Coturnix japonica: one gene and its partners. The protein of the gene in region 5 interacts with the protein of the main gene of each other region in a biochemical or structural test. Links are inferred from orthologs where the notes say so. Each region holds a gene or a part of one and is shown on either strand. Other genes may lie near its edges.

The links. The genes of interacting proteins can lie anywhere in the genome.
Region 1: the proteins of DLG1 (region 5) and GUCY1A2 interact in a test that uses a peptide from one of them, tested with the Homo sapiens proteins (2 studies listed by IntAct, with this or other methods). The link is inferred for Coturnix japonica from reciprocal best matches to the Homo sapiens genes DLG1 and GUCY1A2.
Region 2: the proteins of DLG1 (region 5) and TANC1 interact in a test that uses a peptide from one of them, tested with the Homo sapiens proteins (2 studies listed by IntAct, with this or other methods). The link is inferred for Coturnix japonica from reciprocal best matches to the Homo sapiens genes DLG1 and TANC1.
Region 3: the proteins of DLG1 (region 5) and KCNJ2 form a complex in vitro, tested with the Homo sapiens proteins (2 studies listed by BioGRID and IntAct, with this or other methods). The link is inferred for Coturnix japonica from reciprocal best matches to the Homo sapiens genes DLG1 and KCNJ2.
Region 4: the proteins of DLG1 (region 5) and KCNJ4 form a complex in vitro, tested with the Homo sapiens proteins (2 studies listed by BioGRID and IntAct, with this or other methods). The link is inferred for Coturnix japonica from reciprocal best matches to the Homo sapiens genes DLG1 and KCNJ4.
Region 6: the proteins of DLG1 (region 5) and plasma membrane calcium-transporting ATPase 4 form a complex in vitro, tested with the Homo sapiens proteins (2 studies listed by BioGRID and IntAct, with this or other methods). The link is inferred for Coturnix japonica from reciprocal best matches to the Homo sapiens genes DLG1 and ATP2B4.

The regions. Positions count from the first base shown.
Region 1 is NC_029516.1:161,689,523-161,693,503, forward strand, and holds the start of GUCY1A2 (guanylate cyclase soluble subunit alpha-2), read left to right. Parts: upstream 1-1,181; 5' UTR 1,182-1,326; coding exon 1,327-1,596; intron 1,597-3,981. UniProt on the Homo sapiens protein: Has guanylyl cyclase on binding to the beta-1 subunit. Isoform 2 acts as a negative regulator of guanylyl cyclase activity as it forms non-functional heterodimers with the beta subunits.
Region 2 is NC_029522.1:33,247,947-33,251,957, reverse strand, and holds the start of TANC1 (protein TANC1), read right to left. Parts: upstream 2,801-4,011; 5' UTR 2,698-2,800; intron 1-2,697. UniProt on the Homo sapiens protein: May be a scaffold component in the postsynaptic density.
Region 3 is NC_029533.1:6,094,376-6,097,559, reverse strand, and holds KCNJ2 (inward rectifier potassium channel 2), read left to right. Parts: upstream 1-1,395; 5' UTR 1,396-1,398; coding exon 1,399-2,682; 3' UTR 2,683-2,684; downstream 2,685-3,184.
Region 4 is NC_029516.1:46,451,037-46,454,996, reverse strand, and holds the start of KCNJ4 (inward rectifier potassium channel 4), read right to left. Parts: upstream 2,801-3,960; 5' UTR 2,314-2,800; coding exon of another isoform or gene 2,309-2,313; intron 2,297-2,308; exon of another isoform or gene 1-2,296. UniProt on the Homo sapiens protein: Inward rectifier potassium channels are characterized by a greater tendency to allow potassium to flow into the cell rather than out of it.
Region 5 is NC_029524.1:10,748,094-10,753,026, reverse strand, and holds part of DLG1 (disks large homolog 1), read left to right. Parts: intron 1-324; coding exon 325-375; intron 376-586; coding exon 587-711; intron 712-1,823; coding exon 1,824-1,993; intron 1,994-2,603; coding exon 2,604-2,743; intron 2,744-3,431; coding exon 3,432-3,576; intron 3,577-4,933. UniProt on the Homo sapiens protein: Essential multidomain scaffolding protein required for normal development. Recruits channels, receptors and signaling molecules to discrete plasma membrane domains in polarized cells.
Region 6 is NC_029541.1:4,878,571-4,882,587, forward strand, and holds the start of plasma membrane calcium-transporting ATPase 4, read left to right. Parts: upstream 1-1,217; 5' UTR 1,218-1,352; intron 1,353-1,459; exon of another isoform or gene 1,460-1,587; intron 1,588-4,017. UniProt on the Homo sapiens protein: Calcium/calmodulin-regulated and magnesium-dependent enzyme that catalyzes the hydrolysis of ATP coupled with the transport of calcium out of the cell. By regulating sperm cell calcium homeostasis, may play a role in sperm motility.

The DNA of each region.
Region 1 (3,981 bases), on a different chromosome or scaffold from region 5:
TTTATAAGACAACAGAAGGCATCACGGACCACCCTGGCTTTTTGATACATCCTTTTAAGCCACAGGCTTCAAGATGCAGAGATTTAAGAACTGTGCCATGACAAAAGGAGCTCTGTTGTTTCTCTTACTCCATATAAATTTCTAGAGAAAGAAGAAAATTGCAACAGAAACCTGGTGAGCTGAGAGATGGTGGCACTGAAAGGAATGTCCTGGTGAAATATGTGATTCACGCCATGTCCTCTCTGAGAGCTGCCTACCTGGCCTTCTGAACTTGGGTTGTGTTGGGCCATCCTCCAAAGCTCTCTATGCCTGCGGTGCTCTTCCCAATATCTCAGGTGGGCTTTTGTCAAGGCTGCACTCAGATAGTTCAGATGATGAGGTGGTAAAGTGTATACTATAATACTGAGGACAGGTAAAGAAAAAACGATCTTAAAAGCATTGCTTTCAAAGGAAGTTTTGTTCAACAGAAGATGAATGAATGTCTTTCTTGATGGTTGGATGAAACTCTACCACTGAGGGCATGTTTCCTTGTGGGCTTTCTACAGTACATGGGTACTGTAGCTGGATTGTAACAACAGGGAACGAGTTTAGTTACTCTTTCGGACGTAACCCACAGTGTCAGAGCCGAAAAGAACTTTTTCCTCTGAAAACTGATGGCAGCCCTTCAGCCTTCTCCGATATTTACCACCTTCCATTTCCCTAAGGTTTAGCTGTGCCGTTCAGTGAAGTCCTCCGGCGCCGGGCACCCACGGCCGCCTTCCCCGGCATCCCGTGCTTAGGGAGCTGTCCAGCACCGCCGCGGGCTCGGAGGCGGCGCGGCCGGGCACGGTTGGGGCCATGCGGGGACACCCTCATAATGCGGGGACATCCCCATAGCGCGGGGACATCCCTATAGCGAGGGGGGGGAGAGCGCGGCGCCGGGGAGCGGGGCATTAAGGGGGCTGCTGCCGGGCCGCGGCGTGCGAGAGGCGGCGAGCGGGGAGGGGAGAGGAGGGAGGAGGAGGAGGAGGAGGAAAGGGCTCCAAACAACACGTGATTCCCGCGGAGCAGCGAGGGAGCCGGGGGAGGGGAGAGCGAGGGAGGGCGGCCGAGGCAGAGGAGGGCAGCCGCCGCCGCCGCCGCTTTAAAGCCTCCCGGCGAGGCGGCGCCGCGCAGCACCCGCGGCTCGGAGCGGCGCGGCGAAGCGCGGAGCCGGGAGCGGCCCCGGAGCGCATCCACCGCCGCCCCCCGCCGAGGGGCTCCGCGGCCATGCCAGGCGGCCGCCCCCGCGGCCCCGCGGCCCCGCGCTGCCCTCCGCTGCGCTGAGCCCCGCCGGCCCGCGGCACCATGTCCCGCCGCAAGATCTCCTCCGAGTCCTTCAGCTCGCTGGGCTCCGACTGCCCGGAGACCAGCCCCGAGGAGGAGGGCGAGTGTCCCCTGTCCCGCCTTTGCTGGAACGGCAGCCGCAGCCCTCCCGGCCCCGCCGAGCCACCTCTCACCGCCGCAGCCGCCGCCGCCGCCGCCGCGGCCAGCGCCGGGGCTCGCCGCGTTCCGCGCCGTCGGCGGGTCAACCTGGACTCGCTGGGCGAGAGCATCCGCCGCCTGACGGCCCCCGCGGTGAGTGCTCCGCGCCCGCCCGGCCTCCTCATGCGCGGTTCCCGACGGCTGTTCCAGGGCCGGCTCCTGAGTCCGAGCCCCGGAGCGATGTGCGGAGCTCCCCGGACCGGCCCGGTCCGCTCGGGATGCGGGATGCGGCGCAGGGCTCGGCAGCCGCGGCGGGAGGCGCACGCTGCCCCGCTCCGCACTCCAGCCGAGTTCTCGGCATTAGAATCCGGAGTCACAAAGTGCTTATTGCCATCTGGTGCTAGCAGCAATTCTGTATGAAAAGTTACACACGTCTGTATATGCATAGCATGCTCGTTCTTTACCGCAGAGGAGATGTTCTTGCGTTGGCAGGGTTTTCGTAGGGTTTTTCCTTGCTGAACGAGGTGAAAAGAAAGTTTGTGTGTTCTTCTCAGAAATACTGCAGCAACAGATTTCCCTGAGCCTCTCTGATGTGCCCACATTCCTGAAAGAGCCGTCTGAGGGCACTTTGGGGTCCGTGATTGATGGTTTTGTCTCCAGCTACACCTGTAGTGAAGCAGTGCATATGCCACAAAGAACAGAATTGGTGCTGAACGTGTGAGGCGTGCGGGCACTGCTGTGGGTGACTGCAGTCAGCAGCTCCGGAGCTGCGCTGGCTGCGTATGCAATAGGAGCTCGTTCTCCAGAGCTGTGTTACACTGCTGTCTCTGTGACCATCACTACATTTCCCTCATGAAGTTACAGCTGTAAGGGAACGCTTGTTGCTTGCTGAGATACCTTACTGTGCTCAGGTGTAGAACGTAGACTGCAACAAGTAGCCTAATCCGCACGGCAGTCACATCTGCTGAATTTGGTGGCATTGCAGTGTCTTTTTGGCTTTTTCTTATTCGGCTTTGGAGATGACTTCTGAATCTCATCACCATCTGCTGTCGGTGTGCTTTGCTTTTCATTCCTCTTTTCTGTTTCCTTGCTCGAACAGGCTGGATCCGAGCAGCCAGGCTGCCTAATGGGGGAAGTTAGCGGTGCGTGACCGAGCCGGCAGCCGTCCGCTTACAGCCAAGACTTCTCTTTCCCATTGATTTTTTATCTCCCCACTGGGAACCCAGGCTTGTCATGCTGAAATTAATAGATGGTATCTCAGGTGACTTGCCTTGTTTTAGTACCAAAAAATGAAGCTATTTAATTTGTTAATGATGCTGGGGTATAATTAGAGCATGTGTTACCCGAAATATTGGAAATATTCTGAAGTAGCTCAGTGCAGTATTTTTAGATAACCTTACTGTTTGTATTATCCCTTTGGCTGATACCTCCTGAAGCAATAAAAGACGGTTACGGCTTTACAGCTTTCATTCATTGTTGAACATGTTTGAAAAAATAAACAGATTCTGTGAACTGAGAGATGAGAAAACTTGGGTCGGTCTCGGAGTCCTCCTTCCTTCCTGCTCCTGGGGAAACTGAAGCTAAGAGTGCAAAAATTTCATCCCACCTCACTTCCATGTCCCAAGAAACAGTTTCCATTGGTTTCCTTTGGAGATAATTATCCCAATCCTTACTGCTGTAACGATCTTTATTTTCATTAATTTCAATATGTGATTCATATGATATAGAATATTCCCAAACTCCTTTTATTATCTTGGCACTGTAACTGCAGTTTCATTCTGTCTTACACATTTTGGCACCAGTCATTGGCATTTACGTTGGGAAAGTCACATTGGTGCCATCCTGGTATGAGAAAGGAATCGGTTTCTCATCTTTTCGTTCTTGACTCCGACACATCACTCTTCAAGTGCCTTGTTGTTCTGGTGCCTTCTTTAATATTTTCGAGAGTCTTTTCTGTGATGCTGAATATATGCTTTCTTGCAACAAGTCCAGTTACCATCTGTCTGACACTCGGAATCTGATCGTTTTCTCACATCTGTTGATCTAAATCAGGAATAACTTCAGATAGAAGTTAAAAAATGACACTGGCCATACAATTAGTGCTGAATTAGAGTCGTTCCCATTATTTTTAAAATTTAAAGGCAAATTGGAAGGGTGCACTTACAACTGTTCTTTCTGAGCTCTAATACTTTGATGCAGATGTAGGTATGTCTTCATTCTGTAAATCCATAAAGATTTCTGTTAAGTATGGAAGCACTGATGTATGTAGAGTGTGTGTGAATATATATAAAATAGATCTTGCCAGCAGAGGCTCAGTGTGTGCATTTTAGCCTTAATACGGCAGCAATCTGTTCACATCCCAGTGCTGAACACTTTCAAAGTTGAAGGACGCTACAGGTTCCTGATGCCAATACTTAGTTTTGTTCTTTCCTTTGGTAACAGCTGGGATTGAGATGCTGAGTCAAAATTTCTCACTGTATCTCCATGTTCTGTGTGTGTCTAGTGCTGCAGAGATGCATGCAGAGAGCTCAGGGGTGA
Region 2 (4,011 bases), on a different chromosome or scaffold from region 5:
AGATGAAACTGAAAATCCCATCCTAACTCTAGATCAAATTAAAGAAGAGAAATTAAACGAAGAGCAGATGTACACAGTGACTTGCTGAGCACTGCTGCCAACTGCAACACCAAGATGCACGTAGGAGTGCTCGACTTGACCTCAAAGACGTCTGAATTTCTGCTAACATCAATGCAAAGAAGTTACGCACTGACACTGCTGGGCTGATCTGTGCTTAAGGCCTTGTTAGAATGTGGCGCTGCAGGCACTGTGGTGTGTGCAGCACAGCAAACTGCTCGCTGAGCCCTGCAGCAGCGTCCTGCCATGCACCGGGCACTGTGAGGAGCCCAGCACAGCGCAGAGCGCATCACACACATCCCGGTTAGGGACTATTAACCAGACGGAGAAATAAAACATCCCAGCAGTTACTCTCCTAGCAGCAGAGAGAAACCTGTAACAGGGCCTTGGCATGACTTGGCCTTCTGCTTCCACTCTTACAAAGAACACTTTGGCACAGAGCACCTCCACACATCACGCAGGAAGGCCAGCACTCAGCCCATTAAAGTAATGCAAGCTGTAATGTTCCAGCTCCAAAGCGCCCTACAGATGGAGCCTATGGCTCAGCAGGTCTCCACTCAGTGAGTCGGGGGGGGAGGAAACAAAAAGCCCTAAACAGTATTAGAGAAACAGGACATTCTGAAGTTGGAGCTGTTCCACTCCTATTATCTACATACACAGTGTGTGCTTCAAGAGAGAGGTTTGGAAAGGATGAAAGGTGCCCGTGCAGTGTGCAGCAGCTAGATGGGGCAGAGCTGGTACATCAGCATCACATAACACACCAGATATTTTCCATTAATGAGCAACCAGCTCACTTTCCCCCTCCACATGCCTTACTGTGCTCTTCCTACTATTCTCCCTGCAGTTTTCCAGCAGCACCGCCTCCTATCCACAAGCTGTCTGCATCTTTCCTTTTTATTGCAACAGCCGTGTGATAAATAAACCACGCAGCCCCCACACGGCGCAGGCAATGCTGACACAGCCTCAGAGCTTCCAGATGTGTTACCCAGCGCTGAGCCCTCCCTGCTTCCGGCAGGGCACGGCAATCTGGCTCCTGGGAGAGCCTGAAATACCCAGACTTTGTCAGAGCAGCAGCTCCACAGGAAACCTCTATGGTAAAGCCACAATTATACATCCTGACTTACAGCTATGTCCACCAGCATCGTTACAGCAGCCAGCAGAGCAGGCTGATGCCCTCAGACACAGCAATGTGAAACCCTGCCCATCCATCCTTCATCCTCACAGAGAGACTGAATCCTGATGACAACACAAAGTTCAGCTAAAGATAAACATCGTTCTGTGAAGATTGCTTAGCTGTGTCCAGAACTGTGTGCTCAGACCACAGAGTTGCTATGGCATCGGCTCCAGGCCTGTGGTCTGACACACAAAATGCCTTTTTCCTAAGGACTGTTGTGGGAAGCCGAGCACTTTGGCCGGGCACCAACTATGTTTTGGCTCCCCAGCAGATATCATTTATCGCCACTCGGACATTCCAGTGGTTCTCTGCACTGAGGCAGCAGCACAGCCAGCAGCTCAGCACCATCTCAGCCTGCCCGTGTCACACGGCCCCACACACCCCACAGCAGCGATGGGGCACAGGAACCGCGCTCACGCCTTCTCTGCTCACCAGCATTATTAACATCACGGCACTGTTTTCCCACCCCTTCACCACCGGAGCAGAACAAACAGGAGAGGTGAGGTGAGCTTTTGGCAGCTGCGTATCAAACCACAGCGGGAGGAAATTCTGCAGGATGCGAGATATTGCACCGATTTCCCTTATTTCCTGGTCTTTTTAATTATATAACCATCAGGATGTTTGCTCCAAGCAACAACGGAGCTCACACGGGATTTCTGCAAACAACGAATGTGGGACGAAGGGTCCTGGGGCGGCCGACACCCCATGGGCACATCGCCGCCCCTCGGGGCACCCAGCGCCCAGCACAGCGCCCAGCGCATCCCGCAGCACAGCGCCCAGCACAGCGCCCAGCACAGCGCCCAGCACAGCGCCCAGCACAGCGCCCAGCACAGCCCCCAGCACAGCCCCCAGCACAGCCCCCAGCACAGCCCCCAGCACAGCGCCCAGCACAGCGCCCAGCACAGCGCCCAGCACAGCCCGCAGCACGGCCGGCTCGGGCCGCACAGCGCCGCCGGGTGCCTGCAGGACGGGCCCAAGTACAAGGCAGGAGCGGGGCTGTGCAGCCGGCGGGGCCGGGCCACAGCTGAGCACAGTGCGGTGCTCGGTTACAGCCGGTGCTAAAAGCGGGCACCGAGGGCGCTACCTGCGACCCGGCACTGCCTGCGACCCGGCACTACCTGCGATCCGCCCTCAGCAGCCCGTCCCGGCCCGGCCCTGCCGGCACTGCCCGGCCCCGCCGCACAACTTTGGCTGTCACCGCCGCTGGAAGGAGCGGCCGCTTCCCGTCCCGTCCCGTCCCGCTCCCCCGCACCCAACAGCGGATGAACCAACTTTCCTTCCCGTACTTTCCGCACTTACCGCGGCCGTTCCCCCCCAGCCGCACGGAGCGCGTGCGGGGCGGGCGGAAGCCGCGGCCGAGCAGCGCCCAGGCCGGGCCTTGAGCCCAGCTCAGCTCGAGCTCCCGCCCGGCCCGGCCCCACTCTCCCGCTCGCAGCCCGACGCCGAGGGCGCAGCCCGGCACTCACCTCCTCGGCCGGGCCCGGCTCCGCTCGCCCGGGGCTGCGCGGCCCATCCGGCGCCAGGCGGCGGGATGAGCTCAGCGCCTGCGGGAGGCGGCGAGTCCCCGCCCCGCAGCCCACGGCCAACCTCCAACGGAGCGGGAGCGGCTCCGCGGGGCGGGGCGGGATCCGACACTGCTCGGCCACGGCTCGACCCGCCGGGACGGGCCGCACGGAGCTGGGGCGGGGCCGAGCGGAGCCAGCGCTGCCACCTGCGGGCGGGACGCGGCTGGGGACGGGCTGAGCCGCCTCGGAGCCGCATCCGGCCTCAGCAGCGGAGCCGATGATCGTTCGTCTGAACGCGGCTTGTTCCGTCTCGTCTTCCTCGTACCCTGTTCCAGCTGGGCGGAACGGCACCGAGCTCCGCTGCTCGGGAATGGGGTGCTCTGCTCCCAACACACAGACCGGGAGTGAGGGCTGGAAGGAGCGGCACGGCTGGCAGGATCCGCAAGGAACGGAGCCGGTGGAATAGAAGCAATAGCGACAGAAAGCAGAGTACGTGGAATAGAAGTAATAGCGACAGAAAGCAGAGTACGTGGAATAGAAGTAATAGCGACAGAAAGCAGGGCTGCTCCGCCGCGCCGTGCCCCGCCGGTCTGTGCCCGCCACGGCCACAGGCGGCACCGAGCGCTCCGCACCGGGATCCGCAGCGCAGCGGACACAGGAGCAGCGCCGGGACAGCGGGACCTGCTGCAACCTGCGTCTATTGCCGCGGAACGGGAACATCCGAGCGAACCGCAACGTGACCTGAAGGAATGGGATGCTGCGGTCAGAGCATCAGTGCATTCCTCTGACGGCCGGGAACTCGGTTATGGTACGTCGCTCAGAGATTAAGAATACAGCAATACTGGTTAAAATGAATACCGAGTCCTAAGTATAAAAACATGAAGATATGTTTTCTCTATCAAGCAATGAAATACTCGTGCTGTGTTTTTATGCAGTTAATGGCATTGCTGCAACTTCAGGATCGTATTTGTTTAAAACATGGTTGTGTTTTGTGTCTCTTATTCCTGCTGCGTGTTGACAAACCCTCAGCAGATATGCACAGGAGCTCGCTCCTTGCACGCTCCTTCCCCTTCTGGGCAGGGACATGGTGTGTAGCAGCTCCTGAGCTGCCCCTTCAGAGCAGCGCATTAAGGTGGAAGGGGTCTGAGAACCATTCACCTCAATGCAGTGGTTGGACAACTGCAGCCATGAACGAGCTGTGTGTGATGACGGATGTGTCACAGCAGTCAGACTCCCGGCCTGAAGGACGCATGGATGGCTGAAGGCAACGGCAAG
Region 3 (3,184 bases), on a different chromosome or scaffold from region 5:
CAGCGATAGATGTGTTGGGTTCGGGACAAACTCAGATGAGTTTTGATTATATTGATTTATGAAGAGGATGGTGATTTAATCCCCCACCAATGTAAACAGTACTTAAGTCTCCTCTCCTAGGGTAAATGGATAGCAGACATTCCTCGCTGCTTGGTTTTGGTTTTATTTCCTCCATGAGGTGAATGTATGGATGGAGCAGTTGCATTAATGCATCTCCTATCCTCTGCAGTATTTCAATTACATTTCCTGATATACAGTACATGACTTAATGGATGACGCACTTGTTAAAAGCTAAACCTGGGTCTAAGCCAGACCTCCCTGAAACAAGTCTAGTAGCTTCTACCCTTGGGAAGAAAGTTCTGCAGCCTCTCTGCTGAGCCTTAGTTGCTGGCATCTGAGACCCTGAGGTGTTCTGAAGATGCCCATCCAGTCCTACCCCCATCCAGTCCCACCACTGGAGCCTTCTGCCATTCCCACTCACAGAGGGTCATTACAATGTTTAGTTTGCTCCCTACAACTCACCCTAATGGGAATGTAAAAACCAGCTCGGACGCAGTGAGTTGATGGAGTTAGAGGTACTGATGCAGCCTGTTTTCCTACCATTCACAGAAAACCCATGATTCCTTTTATAACTCCCACTTAATAGAAAAACCTAAGTTCTATGCAGTGCAATCTCATGGAAATAACTGATATTTGCATTTTCCAACTTTATTGTTGTTCTCAGTACATGTTGTCTTCCCTCTGCACACTCCCTTGTTTGACATAGGTAAAGCAGTCCAGGAGACAGACACTGCACGTCGTTAAAAAACTGTTTCAGTATTATTTGAACAGAGGGAGGCTAATGCCAGTTCTTTGTTGCAAAATAAACAGAAAGCCCCGTTGCAAACAGTAGATAGATTCTTTGCATGCCCGACTTTAAAGTGAATACTGCTTAGAGACTTGTGCGACATGATCACTTCAGGGCTTTCATTTGGGAAGAGTGGTGGCTTCTCTGCAGTAATGATGTCACTTTGGTCAATACGGAACTGTGCTCAGAGCTCTCACGCATTTCAGAAAATGTTGTCATTAAGAATAAAGAAACTTCCTGCAACTCCAGAGGAGTGATTTTACTTGATTCCCACAGGCTTGATTCATTATCCTTTTCCTCCAGGATCTAATATGACATTTCTCTTTCTCTTGCAGACCATGCCCTCTCTATGACGGTTACTTGTTAAGCTAACTCTGCATGCCAGAAGACTGTCCTTGGTTGATCCAAGGGCTTTTGGGGACTCCAGCCTCTCCCCAGTTTTTCTGTGTGTGTGTGTTCCTCTAGAACTTTCAAAACTGTTTCTCCAAAGGGTTTTGCAGAAACTTAGACTGTTTTCTAAAGCAGAAGCACCTCAGTCCACAGCAGTAGTGATGGGCAGCGTGCGAACCAACCGCTACAGCATCGTGTCTTCGGAAGAGGACGGCATGAAGCTGGCAACCATGGCCGTTGCCAATGGCTTTGGGAATGGAAAAAGTAAGGTACATACCAGGCAGCAGTGCAGGAGCCGCTTTGTCAAAAAAGATGGCCACTGCAACGTCCAGTTTATTAATGTGGGTGAGAAGGGACAGCGATACCTGGCAGACATCTTCACCACTTGTGTGGACATCCGCTGGAGGTGGATGCTGGTTATCTTCTGCCTGACATTCATCCTCTCCTGGCTTTTTTTTGGCTGTGTGTTTTGGTTGATTGCGCTGTTGCACGGGGATCTGGAGAACCAGGAAAATAACAAGCCGTGCGTCTCGCAAGTGAGCAGCTTCACTGCAGCCTTTCTGTTCTCCATTGAGACCCAGACCACAATTGGCTATGGCTTCAGGTGCGTCACAGATGAGTGTCCCATTGCCGTTTTCATGGTGGTTTTCCAGTCTATAGTGGGCTGCATCATTGATGCCTTCATCATTGGTGCCGTCATGGCAAAGATGGCTAAGCCAAAAAAGAGAAATGAAACTCTTGTCTTCAGCCACAATGCCGTGGTGGCCATGAGAGATGGGAAACTGTGCCTGATGTGGCGTGTCGGAAACCTGAGGAAAAGCCACTTGGTTGAGGCACACGTGAGAGCACAGCTCCTCAAGTCCAGGATCACATCAGAAGGGGAGTACATCCCTTTGGATCAAATAGACATCAATGTAGGGTTTGACAGCGGGATAGACCGCATATTCCTGGTCTCCCCAATTACAATTGTACATGAAATAGATGAAGACAGTCCTTTGTATGACTTGAGCAAACAAGACATGGACAATGCTGACTTTGAAATAGTAGTCATTTTAGAAGGCATGGTGGAAGCCACTGCCATGACTACCCAGTGCCGCAGCTCATATCTGGCAAATGAAATCCTCTGGGGCCACCGCTACGAGCCCGTACTCTTTGAAGAAAAAAACTACTACAAAGTGGACTATTCAAGGTTCCACAAAACATACGAAGTGCCCAACACACCCATCTGCAGTGCCAGAGACTTAGCAGAAAAGAAATACATTCTCTCGAATGCAAACTCCTTTTGCTACGAGAACGAGGTGGCCCTCACCAGCAAGGAGGAGGATGAGATCGACACGGGGGTGCCCGAGAGCACGAGCACAGACACCCACCCCGACATGGACCATCACAACCAGGCAGGAGTGCCCCTAGAGCCACGGCCGCTACGGCGTGAGTCAGAAATATGACTGGCGGACAATTCCTCTCTCTTTTGGTTGAAAGGAAAGATAAATAAACAAATACCTATCGGTCAAAGGCACATTGACCTGAGAAGTTGGCCCAGAACAGTTTTCAGACAACGGTACTGTTGAAGAGCGGCGTGAAGGCAAACAGACCTGGGAAAAGCCCGGCTGGTTTGAGGGCTGTCCTCAGAGGAGGGACAACAGAGAATGAACTCTAAACACAAAGCACTAAACATGTCTGAGTATGAACAGAAGGCACATATGTTGTAGAATAAATTATGTATATATTTTTTTACAAAACTTGAACTTGCAGGCAAGCTTTGGTTGGGTTATTATTATTTGTTTGTTGTTTTTTTTTTCAACTTTTTCCAGAATGCTTCTCTCTAGGGAACAAGAATGTTTTTAATGGCATAACAAAGGCAAGAATCTGCCTTATTATTATTATTATAATTATTTTTTAAAGAAAGCTGCTGCTAACTACATGAACACAAAGGGTTATTTTTGTTGC
Region 4 (3,960 bases), on a different chromosome or scaffold from region 5:
CTCAGTATGGAGATCCCATGGTGTAGAGACCCCTTGGGTACAGGGACCTCTTGGTACAGAAGCCCCATGAGCATGAGACCCCTTGGGCGTGGGGACCACTTGGGTATGGGGGCCACTTGGGTATGGGGACTTCTTAGGTATGTGGATGTTTTGGGTATGGGGTCCCCTTGGGTACGGGGACCCCTTTGGTATGGGAACCCCTTGGTATGAGAAGCCCTTAGTATGGAGACCCCTTTTATGGGGATGCCTTGGCTATGGGGACTCCCAGGCTCAAGCAGAACTACACACCTGCAGCATCCCCCATCCCTCCCTGAGCCCCTGCATGTGGGCTAACATGTGGGCTCAGTGCCTCTCATTAACCCTAGATCTCATTAGCGAGGGTGTTGGAGCCATGCAGGAGAGCAAAAGGCACATGGCATGGGGCAGGTGAGGGGAGGGAGCTCTGCGCCATTTATATAGACATGCTGCTGCCTTTTCTCTCAATAATTATAAATAGATCGGGTGGGTGCCAGCAGTCCCCGTGTGCCCGCAATCACGGTGAGCTGACCCCTGCTCCCCCATTGGGTGACACATATGTCCCTCTGCCCTGTTTGCATTTCGGGGTGGAGCGAGTGAGGGGATATTTCCCCCCTGTGAAGCCCCGGGCACGGGTAATATGAAAACAAAACAAAATGATCTGAAGTTGAAGCCTCTCAGTGTGTGACTCAGAGCTATTCATAGCTCCCCGAAGCCAGCTGCAGCAACAGAGCCAGAAGGATTCTGCCCGTATTATTATTCCAATTACCATCTGAATTAAAAGTTTGAGCAGTGATCAGCCCACATACCGACAGAGGGGGGAGAGGAGAGAAAGGGAGAGAAAGGCAGAAAACAGATAAAAAAGGGCTACGCACGAAGGTTGACACAGCCAGAGCAGAGGCTGAGCCCCCTCCCCAGCCCCCACTGCTCTCACACCTCCCAGTGTTGTCCCCTCCTCCCCAGAGCCCCCGGTGCTCCAGGAGAACCATATCCATTCGTTGGTCCTATATCCAACACAGTTGCTTGCAGGAGAGCTGTGTCCAACCAGTGCCATTGGCAGAAAGGTGGTTGTGTTTGTGAGCAGGGATTGACTGCGAAGACAGGCACGTCCATCTATCGATCCCCGGTCGCCGTCGGGTTGAACGAACCCAATGCCATAATGCAGTGACCCAGGAAAGTGGGAATTTGCTGAAGGCGGATTGCAATTAAGTGCTCTGCTCCACATGGGTGCTGATGGAAGTGCCGCTGGCCGTCACTACATCCCCCATCCCACTGCCCCATGGTGGTGCCACACCAGGGATGGGTGGGCAGCATGGAACCAGGCAGCCAAATGCCTGGGGGACACCTCCGGGCAGCACGCCCCAGGGAGGAGGAATGGTGGAAGGAGAGGAAGGCTGCAGCATGAGAAGACCGACCCTCTCCCATCCATCCCTTCCATTTCCATCCCTCCTCCTCCTCACCACCAGTTTCCCTTCTAGAAGCCCACATTCCTACCATGGAATTGCAGAATATCCTGAGTTGGAAGGAACCCATCGCTGAGTCCATTCCTTCTATCCTTTGTGTCATTATCATTGTCAGCAGCCCCAAACTGAGGTGACCATGTGTTGGGGTGCTCAGACATTGCTTCCAGTGCCAAATGGATACAAGTATGTCCCCACGCTCCCTGCACACCTCCCCATCCCCTTTCAGGCTTCTGGTGACCACAAGCTGACAGTGGTGATGCCCATCACCTCCACCATGCATCCAACACCACCGAGTAACCCCTATTGGCAGTGCCTGTTGGAGACATTGGACCACCCCAAGCAAGAGCTGAGCTGGGACCTTGTGAGCTGGAAGGGTTGGGTCTGGACCCCCAAAATCTCTAAGCTTAGAGGGGGACACTTCAACCCTGGGTGCAGACTGTGCTTGGAGAACAGCTTCCTGGTGCTGAGAGACCCATCCCAGAGCAGCGCACACAGATGGACGCCACGGTGCAGGGCTGGTCCATAGGGATGGATAGGGAAAAAGCAAACAAGAGCCGGGGTGAGGGAGCACTGAAAAACCACACAAGTTACCTGCAGGGCAAAGGAGGAAAGTTGGGGAGGCTGACGAGGAGGTGCCCTCCACACCGTCACGCTCTGTTAGCGGTATTTACATCTGCCACGCACACAGCAACTTTGCTATTCACGGACACATTCACATGAAGCTACTCACATCTAAGTTATATTTATAGCCTTCCTCAGCACTAGCACGACAGCATTTTCACAGGCAAAACCTCCCGTTGCTGCACCGGGAGCTGCCCGGCATCTCTTACCGCATCGTGCTGGGGCCGCCTGGGAGCCAGAGTCAGAGGATGGGGTCAGCAGTCGGCGTCTCCATCGTGCCCCAGAGCTCCTGGGCTCACCCAGTGGGTTCTCTGCAGCTCCGGGTTGTTGGATTCCTGAGGAGCCCCAGCTCACCGTGCCCAGCTCCTCTCCTCCTCCGCTCAGCGTGCTTCGCTCCCATCCATCCCACGAGCTCTCAGCGACGGTTCTGCTCTCCCCCTCCTGCCTCGTCCCCTCTGCCCTTCAGTCCTCTCTCTGCACCTCCCTGCTCTCACCCCAAAATCTCTGCGCCGCCTCTCCCTGCTCCCGTTCCCTGGCTCCCTCTCCCCCTCTCTGATTGCTATGCAGTCTGTAGCTAAGAAGTCAGTAACTCTGTGGTAGGATCCAACAGCTTTCCGCTACTTTAGCCCATCCTCGCATGTGATCTCAGAGCCATGGATACGCACTGCCGAGCTGCCATGGGGGAGACGGGAAAGCATCCATCAGCAGTGGGGACAATGGAGTGGCCACATACCCCGGCCGTGAACTGTAGGATTTTCCCACCAGGACCCCACATTATGGGCTGAGACCTGGCTCCAGGCAAGGACTCAGCTCCCCTTGGATTGTCTCTGCTGGGAGCTCCCCGGAGGCATCTCGGGGGCTTCCAGGTCACCTCCTGGAGAACTCTCACCGGGAGGAGCAGAGAATATTTTTAGCACCTCTCAGCATCCGTCCACAGCTGCAAGCAGGGAGAGCAGCCAACATCCTGCAAACAGCTCCGCACTGCTGCTCCCTGCAGCTGGATGGGGTTGTCCGACCCCTCTGTCCCTACTATCCCAGTCCCCAGGCTGGGGGTCATTGCCCATCCAATAAGGAGCCCCATGCTTAGGGACACCAAGTTGGAGGTCATCTCTATCCCATAGGGAGCCCCATCTTTGCCCAAGGCTGATGTGACACATCCCAGTGTGACCATGGTGTTCGCACCCCAAGGGGTGAAACCACCTTGCAGTGCCTCAACTCATCCCAAAAACCTCACTGTGTTGCTGAGGATGGGGAGGAACACACGACCATGGTGGTGGTTCCCCCACACGGACAAACAGCTGCACCCATGCACTGTGCAACCAGCTTGGTTGGGCCTTTGGGATGGACAATGGGACATCACAGACAAAGATGTCACCAACCCCTAGCTGTCCTCGTGCCATGCCCCAGCCATCCCTGGCTCCATGGCCCCAGCAGTGGGGTGGCTCACACTCGCCACCCCCGCCCGTCTCCACCGGCACCGTCTTTAATAAGAAGCGTGGAATATTTTAGCACCTATGGAAAAGCCACCACAGACGGTGGTGGCAGCCGTTGCCAAGGAGACAGTCCCAAAAATAGCCCCACTCCGCCAACCTTTCCCAGTGCTGCTGTGGGGATGGAGAAGACGGTTGGATGGAGGGCTGGGAGGGTGGGGAGAAGGGATGGAGGGAGGGAAGGATGGATAGAGAGTTCAATGGATGGATGGATGAGAGGAGGAGATGTGGATGGAGGAACGAGACAGAAAAAGGAAGGAAAGAGGGAAGAAGGAATGGAAAGTTGGATGGAGATGTGGACAGATGGATGGACTGGTGGATGGATGAAAGGCAGAGAGGTGGATGGATGAATGGACAGATGGATGGAAGGA
Region 5 (4,933 bases):
TTGCACTACAACCCCTTCTTTTTTCTCACTTCTAACTTGCCGTATGGCCTGAGGAACAGCAAGAGCGCTTTATTCAGGAAGTCAGAAATAGGTTTCTACTTTACAGGTTCCATGTACAGCAGTCTGCCTGTGGAAGCTTTACATTTAAGCTAATACAGAAAGTGTCCTGATGATGCATGAACAGAGCAGTGTGAAAATTCACACTCCTGTGCTCACTGATCAGTGCCAACCAGCTGAGATTTGGTTTGGAATGAGCTGCCAGAATAGCAAATTGTATTGTAGAATGTGTGAAGTTCTCTAAGTCTTGGTTTTGTTTCTTTTTAGGTCAATGGCACAGATGCAGATTACGAGTATGAAGAAATTACTCTTGAAAGGGTAAGATGCTAAATGTCTTCCTGTACTTTGTTGTCATGCGGGGCTTATAACGCATAAATATGAAAAACCAACATATTTTAGTATCACAAACTGACAGTTCTTTTAACATTTTTTATCAGTTAGATGATATAAATTTAGTTTTATATTGAAACAGGTACAGTATTTTTTCTCAAGAAAAGTAGTAGATAATTTTTCCTCCTTCTACCTTTAGGGCAATTCAGGACTTGGCTTCAGCATTGCAGGTGGCACAGACAACCCACATATTGGGGATGATTCAAGTATTTTCATTACAAAAATTATAGCCGGAGGTGCAGCTGCACAGGATGGAAGATTACGGTATGACGACTTCCTGTATTGGGTTGCTAAGTGTTTATTATTGTTTGTCAAACAGTTGATAGAACATTTTCTCTTTGCTTCAATTATCATATTATGTTGCATTTTAAACAAGTTGAGCTTAGCAATTGCTCTCTTGTATGCTTGGTTTCATTCTGTGCCATATTTTTTCAGAGATACTACATATCCTCAATAGCCATAATTTTGTTTAAAGTGATAGAGTTATTCTGTAGCACCCCTTATTTTCTTATTTATTTATGGGATGACTACTTACCTACTAGTAAGGAAGTGTTCATTCACCATTAGATAGTAGCAAGTGATATTTGCAACTTGAAATTGCATATTAATAACAAACTGCTTTTATGAATTATTTGAAATTGTTTTTAAATATCAAGCTGTCTTTCAATAAACTCTTGTGTAACTGCATAGAGGAAAAATAAAACAAGAAAAGCTGTTTGGAAGCCTGGCTTTTTTGTGTCTTGTTCTCTGGAGAACTTGTCCCTACCTTATTTTGTGCAAACGCCTGATGACTTAAGTGTTTTAGTCTTATTAAGCTTATTTCAGGACTTTGTTTTAGCCTGTTTGGCACTGTCAGAAGATACATCTGGCAGAACTTAGGGACAAGTGGGTCAGACATTCTACTTACTGTAATGAGAGCTCAGTGTTACTACAGCAACACATTAAATGGAAAGAAAAGCCAGCACTTAAATAGCTTGTGGAAAGCAGGAAAGGAGCTCAACTTGTTCATATCATAGTTTAAAACTAGTGAATTCCCACTATATAATGCCCAGGGTATGACTTTTAAGTTCTTTTTTATAGCTCTAAATGAAAGGTATTTCGTACGAAGTCATCTTCAAAATTCTATCTTTTGTTTCATCTAAAGAGTATCCTCTGACTAAATATTCCATTTAGATATTTTCCAGTTATCTTTGTTTTATTTTTAAGCATCAATGTTTAATTTTATAGCGTTGTTTTGAATTACTTTAATTTTGAAGCAGAATCTATGTATCTGACTGTGTTAACGTGTCTTAGTGTATTTTCAATAGAATATTGGACTCCTAATGAGTCTGCTCTGCTATAACACAACAGCTGAACATGAATATTGCTGTCTCTAGGGTTAATGATTGTATTCTACGAGTAAATGAGGTTGATGTTCGTGACGTGACACACAGCAAAGCAGTTGAAGCATTAAAAGAAGCGGGATCAATTGTACGATTGTATGTCAAAAGAAGAAAACCAGTGACAGAAAAAATAGTGGAAATAAAACTTGTGAAAGGCCCCAAAGGTATGTAGGAAGCCTAAAACACCTCAGGAGATGGATAGAGCTGATGATACATTTCTGCACTTAGAACTTAAAGAACACAGTACGTTGCATGTGAAATTCTAGGAGATGCAAAATAATGCCAGTTAAGGCAGACATATCACAGATTTTCATCCATGTTTGTTCTGAAGCTGTTCTTGTAGAATGTGTATTTTTTACTGAACTTTCAAGAATGTGTAGTTCAATTGTATTGCTGGTAGTATTTAATAATCTTCAAGTATGTTTGAGAGGCTACAAAAAGCTTTAGTGTATTCTTTTGTTTGTATATGTGGATATGTTGGAAAACAGTTATTAAAATATCAGTTATGGTGTTATAGCTTTGCTTCGTGTGTCTTTCACAATGCATGAAGAAGATGATTAGATTTTCAGAACTTCTGTGAATGTTGAATCTTTTCCAAAACTTTCTGGAAAATCATAGAGTTCACTTGGAAAGGCATCCAGTATTTCTTTGGCTGCAGGCTAGTATTTCTATATATATTTACTCATGGATGGTATAGGTAGCATTACTATTCATACAGTCATTTGCATCTAGGGAATGCTATAAGGTTTCTTGACTAATGACTTTATCTTCAAGCAGGTCTTGGTTTCAGTATTGCTGGTGGTGTAGGAAATCAGCATATACCTGGAGACAACAGCATCTATGTAACCAAAATCATTGAAGGAGGGGCAGCCCACAAAGATGGAAAACTTCAAATTGGTGACAAACTTTTAGCTGTAAGTAAAAGCAGCAGTGTTTTTTTTATGTCTATTTACTTTTAGACTCAGGAAGGACACGACTCAGTTTGTGATTAAGCTATGTTTTAGGGGAGAACTTTGAAGAACTAAATATTAAAAAAGATTTTAAATCTGCATCATAGGAAGTGCATATCTGTGTACCAGTGATAAAACATGAATCTAAAAGTTTGCTGTCTGAGGTAGCATAACATAACTTGGGTATTGATCACTGTGATAATTAGTAGTATGAACTTAGCTCTGATTTGGATTGCTCTCCAACTAGGAGAGAGGATGAATTAAAAACAAGAAGTGAAGAAAAAGGGAGGCAGCTTTGTGTATGCTTACGAAATTTGTGATGTCATATTTGCCTTGTTTGTTTTCCAAAATCATGTTTTCTTCTTTTTCAGTGTTACTGTCAGTACAGTTTACTATAATATCCAGAGCTTTTTGTTATTTCTGTTTTAATAATATTTCATACTATAAGGCATTTTATATAATTTTAAAATATTCCATATTTTATAATATTTCGCAGCACTACGCAGAATCTTTTACATAGTTGGGCCACTTGTGCCTTTGGTATATGAATCATAATAAGGACTCCCAATGCTAGGATTGCTTTAGGAGACTTCAGTGTCATGAAAACCTGCATTTTTTTTTGCATTGGAATTTGTTTCTTTTTTATATTTAGGTGAATAGTGTTTGCTTAGAAGAAGTTACTCATGAAGAAGCAGTGACTGCCTTAAAAAACACTTCTGACTTTGTTTATCTGAAAGTTGCAAAACCCACCAGCATGTTTATTAATGATAGTTACGCCCCTCCTGACATCACAAACTGTAAGTTCAGCTTTTCTTCATGGTGTATTTTTCTCTTTAAGGCTTTAAAATACTTCATTTTAGTACTTTAAGTGTAAAGCTTTTTAAAATGAAACCTCTCTGTTATGTAAATTTGATTAAAACTATGGTAGCAACTGCAGAAGCAGCTCACTTCAAAGATACTGCTGTTTGCTGATGCAAATTCTAGTGCTACTGTGAAACACTTAAAATATCAAAAGGATTTACTCTTAAGTAGCCTGTAATAAATCATATAAATTGTATTAAATATTGTGAATACTTTTTCCTGTTATATTGGAAAACAAGATTTTTTTTCTATTAACCCAGACTGACCTTTTGTTCAGCTGCTATTTCACTCACTCAAAGACTCATTTTTTCCCCCATAACCAAACATTCTGAAGTAGGAGTGAGGAAACCTTTCCTTATTAATTTGTAGAAAGCATTTTCAAATATGTTATTTGCCATCTATTTATTGAATTTATCCAGTAATAAAAAATATGTGGACTCTTCTTGAGAACCACTTGTACTCATCTCTTCCCATAAGTTGGTGCTGGGGGAAAAAGCAGCATGTTGTTGGTTTTTTTTGTTTGTTTTTTTAACCTGTTTTAGGGTTTTTCTTTGTTTATTTCACTGTTAGATGCAGTTAATAGATACCAGATACTTAGCACTGATATGTTCAGATAGTACCTCATATGAAAAAAGGAACACTTGGAATAAAGCAGTGATGTAATCTAAACCAGTATGTAATGAGCAGTAACAAAAATGCAATAAACGAAGGATAGAAGTGCCTTATAAGCCTTATATCACCTGGTTGGTGATGGCTACTGTAACTGTAAATCTATTCGTAAGCCTGTTGAATTGCAACATGGAGATAAGTTTTGTGTCTTGACTGTCTTATTAAAATGATGTTCTAGAAGGCTCCATTCACTGATACAAAACTAAATTTCAGCCTTATTTTTTTCATCCTCTGTTTTGTGCTATTGTCAATGATGAAGGAGCAGCCATTTTCCCTTATGGGATCTATTTTATCTGGTGATTCAGCCTTCCCCACTGTTTCTGTGGGAAAGAGATTTTTTTTTTCTCCATTGCATTTTTTGTCTTCTCATATAGAATTTAGATTTTCTGGAACAGAGAGGACCTGATCTGTAGTGTTCCTGGTAGTATCGCAGTGATTTGATTGCATTTTTGTGGATAGTGATATGACAAATGTAAAAGTAACTTCCCTATTACTCCTGTTCCTTTGATCATTGGGGTGTTTACTATTTTTAATCTATTTTGGGGGACAGAGGCAGAGAGAGGAAGGTAGAGAAGGACCTGGTTCCTGATAAAGTTGCCAGCTCCTGATAACGCAGTGATACCT
Region 6 (4,017 bases), on a different chromosome or scaffold from region 5:
AGGGAGGAATCCCCTTGCCAAAGGCCCAAAGAGGAACCCCCCCCAGGACTGTTCAGGAATGCAAAGTTATTGAGGCGCAGCCCTCAAGGGCAGGGGTAAATGTTACAAGTGTTAAATGAGGGCTTGTGCACGCACAGATGTTACACTGGTTTGACTTGAACTGGGTTGCATGCCCAAACAACAGGATTAGTGCTGAGTTAAGGTTGCCTACACCCAATATTACACCAGCATAGCTGCATCAATGCCGTGTTACGTTTTCCTTGCAGCCACAGCATTTCCAGGGCTTCAGTGGAGTTTCAATGCATACTTTTTTCTTTGCTTCTGTAATAAAAGGGGGAAGGGTTGGCTCTGCCTGGACAAGGGGCTGAGATTCATGCTCTGCACCTCAAGGAGCAGCTGTACCCCTCCTGGGTGACACCACCACCCCACGCTGTAGGGACAGCAGTGGCTGTGCCCTATGAGTAGCAGGGTGGGGCACACCCCCCCGTCACATGTCACCAACGACAGTGACCACAAGGAACCCCGAGCTCTGCTCCAGAGATTTTGTGCCCCATGCTCGCAGCAGGAAGGACTTTCTGTGCATCCTGTTTTGCAGTGACCACACTGCCAGGGGAGCTGGGGGGTGTCCCAGATGCATCCATCATGAGGGAGCAACTTACACTGCTCGAGGAAATCTGTACCACCACAGCAGGGGTGCAGTATGTGCAGAAGGGGGTACACAGATTTTGGGGGTGCAGGCACAGCGCTTGGTGGTGCGTGCACTGCACTGCCCAAGGGAGGATCCGCAGTGCCAGGAGTGCACACAATGCCGCCCTGCAGCCGCGCACCCTGGACGTACCGCTCGAGGTGGGGGGCACACACGGACCACCGTGCTTGGAGGGGGGTCCTCTGTCCCCACGGGTTCGTGCACCGCTTGCAGCTGCTCCACGTGGGTGACACTGCACGGACACCCACCTCCTGGGTGTACATCTGTACTGCTCGGGGGTTGGTGGTGGGGGTTGCCTATGGGGAAGCCCACGACGTATGGAGGTACACGTACCGGCACCGGGGTTCACCTGTACTACTCGACGGTGCTTCCTGGGGTAGAGGGGCAGTGTCCGCGGGGTGCACCGATACCGCCCGAGCACGCACCCGCCCCGCAGCGCCCAGGGGACGCAGCCCCGCCCGCCGCCTCCCGTCCCCCTTAAGCAGCGGACGGGGCGGGCCGCCACCTTAAGGCAGCCCCTCCCCCGGCAGGCCCGGCCCGGGTTGCCATGACAAGCATTTTCTCCCGCTAGCTCTGCAGCCGCCGCCGCCCTCCTTATGGCCGCCCGCGGGGGCTCCGCCGACAGTCGGGACGGGGCGCCGCGCCGGTGAGTGCGGGACCGAGGCGGAGGGAGCGAGGGGGGGGTTAATTCCCAGGGTGCCCCTTTGGGTGGGGCGGGTGTAGGCGGCGGTGCTGCCTTCGAGGTTCCGTTGGGGGGGAGCGTCCCGCGGAAGGAGCGCGCGGGTTTCGCCTTCCATAACGCTGCAGCTGCTGCGGGGTCGGCTGTTGGAGACAGTGGGGGAACGTCGGTTGGGAGGAAGGACACGGGACCGGCGCAGCAGGTGGGAGGGAGCGGGGGGACGGGGAGTTGTTCTGCCGTCGGAATCTGGGGAGCGTGGGGGCCACGCGCATCTCCCGGGTCCGAGCGGATCGCGGAGCGGTTCGGGGGGTGGCCGTGACACCCCGGGGCTGTGCGAACTCGGGCGGGGGGGAGGGAGGCGGTGGGGAGGGGGGAGCGCTCCGGCTGTAACAGCCGCCCACCACTTGTTGCTGCCCTTGGGAACAACCCTTGGGGGAGCCGGGGGAGGGGGGGGGTTGCGCGGCGTTCCCGCGTGGCAGAGCGGCGTGGGGGGGGCGGGCGCAGCTCGTGGATGCGGCCGTGGCCGGAGGGAAAGGCTGAGCGGGGTCGGAGGGGGAGCGCCTTGCGGCAGCCCGAGGGCAGCGCCGGGAGGTTCCGCAGGGGCGGCTCCTCCTCGGCCCGGGGCTGGGAGCCGCTCCCCGCCTGCGGCAGCGCTGGGTGGGGCAGGGGCTGCGGGCACGGTCCGGGCCGCGGGGGCTGCACGGCCCCCCTGTTCCCGGTCGTTCTGCATGCGGGCGGGGAGGAAGCGAGGGGATGGACAATGGGTTATTGTCCTCTTATCTCCGGAGACCTGAGGGCGGGGGGGTTGCTCGGCTCGCGGACCTGTTTGCGCCGCGGGGCGGGGCACCTCTCTGCATTCCCCCCCTCCCGCCCCCAAATGGGCGCAGCGCTCCCGGTAACCGCTCGCGTTGACTGCGCGGCTGCAGCCGCTGCGCTCAATGTGAACACCGAAACGCACCTGAATCGTTAAGCAGCGAACGAGCGGGGCTAACTAACACCCCCGGCTCTCCCCGCTCCCAGCCCAGCTCGATCCTTCCCCGCGGGGCGCAGCCTCCCCTGAGCCGCCCGCCGCTGTCCGGAGCGCTGCGCTCCGCGCTGAGCATCGCCGTATCCGCTCGTGCGGCGCTCCGGCCCCGGGCTCAGCGGCTGCGGGGAGGGACCGCTGCGCGCTGCCATTGTTGTGCGGCAGAAGGCAGCAGGGTGGAGCCGTGAGTGAGGAATTCCCCCTTCCCCGAGGCCTTCCCTGGCTGCTGCGGTGCCCCGGGAGCTGCGTGCACCCTCTCAGCTTCCCTTGGTTCCCCGCGTTCTCCCATTTTCGTTCTCTCTCTTAATTAATCTGTGCATATATAAGTATATCCGCGCGAGTATACATATGCATAAAATTTATTTCCCCTTGCTGTGCCGTGAGCACAGTTTGCTCACAACATTTCCACCGCCTGTTGCTGCAGTGCTGTGAGCAGCCCGCAGGGATCTGCTGCCCTGTGCTGCAGACGCTGCTGCTGCTGGCTGCTCCCCCCAGCCTGGATCCCTCCCAGCTGTGTTCTGCAAATCAGTGCTGCTCTCTGAGCCATCTGGAAGCTGTGCTGCTCAGCATGGCTGGAGCGATGGATGCGTATCCATAGGGGTGGCTGCTGCAGTGCATGGAGGTGATGCTGTCTCCCAAATTCCTCTGCCTTTTTGGAGGCTTCTGGGATTGGATCCCAGGGATGTGACATGAGCATGGGATGCTGCTGCCTGATGGCTGGTTGAGGTGGTGGAGGCAGCGGTGTCTCTTCTGTTGTACAGGTGGAGAATTGGTGCATGGAAAGGGAAATAAATGGGACTGGGTGAGCAAGGAGAGGGAGCCCATCCCTCTTTCCTCTCACTGAGCCAGTGGGCATCAGTCCTGTGGTGATGGGGATACTCCTGGTATAAGAAGCTCTGAGCTTCGGGCTTAAGTAGGATGGAGCACCTCTCTGCATCCCTGCTTGCAGGGTCAGTGTGTGCAGAGCTCCTGCAGTAAGGAGGGGTTGCAGCCCCGGCCTGGGGCTCCTGGCTCCTCATGCCCAGTGTGGGGCTGTGTGGGAGCTGCATCCCTGCCACCTCCTGCTGGAGCTTCCTGAGCTGATGAGACATCCTACTTTGATGTTTTAATGAGTTGCTTTTGGCTTTAATGCAGAAGAGTAATAGAGTTTCCATGGTCTTATAGACCCTACTTCTATATTTGTTAGTTGGAAAAGGGGGAGGGAAGGGGAGGGGGAAAAAAAAAAGGAAATGCTTGGCACTTGTAGAGTGCGTGGCACACTGCTGGTGTGCTACCCACCTGTGTCACTCACCAGGACGGGACTCCCTGACGCTCAATGAGCTCAGTGAGACACTGTGCGGCGTCCTGCCCTGGGGAGCTGCTGAGCTTTGCTTGCAGGAGGTGTGGGTTGTGGGGCACGAGCATCCCTGTGGCACATGCAGAAGGACGCGGGGACCCTGGAGTGGCGTGCGGGGTGTGGAGGTTTGGCAGTGGTTTGTGCTGACGGAGAAACTTTTCCTTCCGTGGCAGGGATGAGTCGGCAGTGGGCTGGGAACCAGCGGAGCTCTGGCATCCACGGGTTGTGTGAAAATCTCTGTCCCTGTATTATTTTTAATGTCCCAAGCGTGT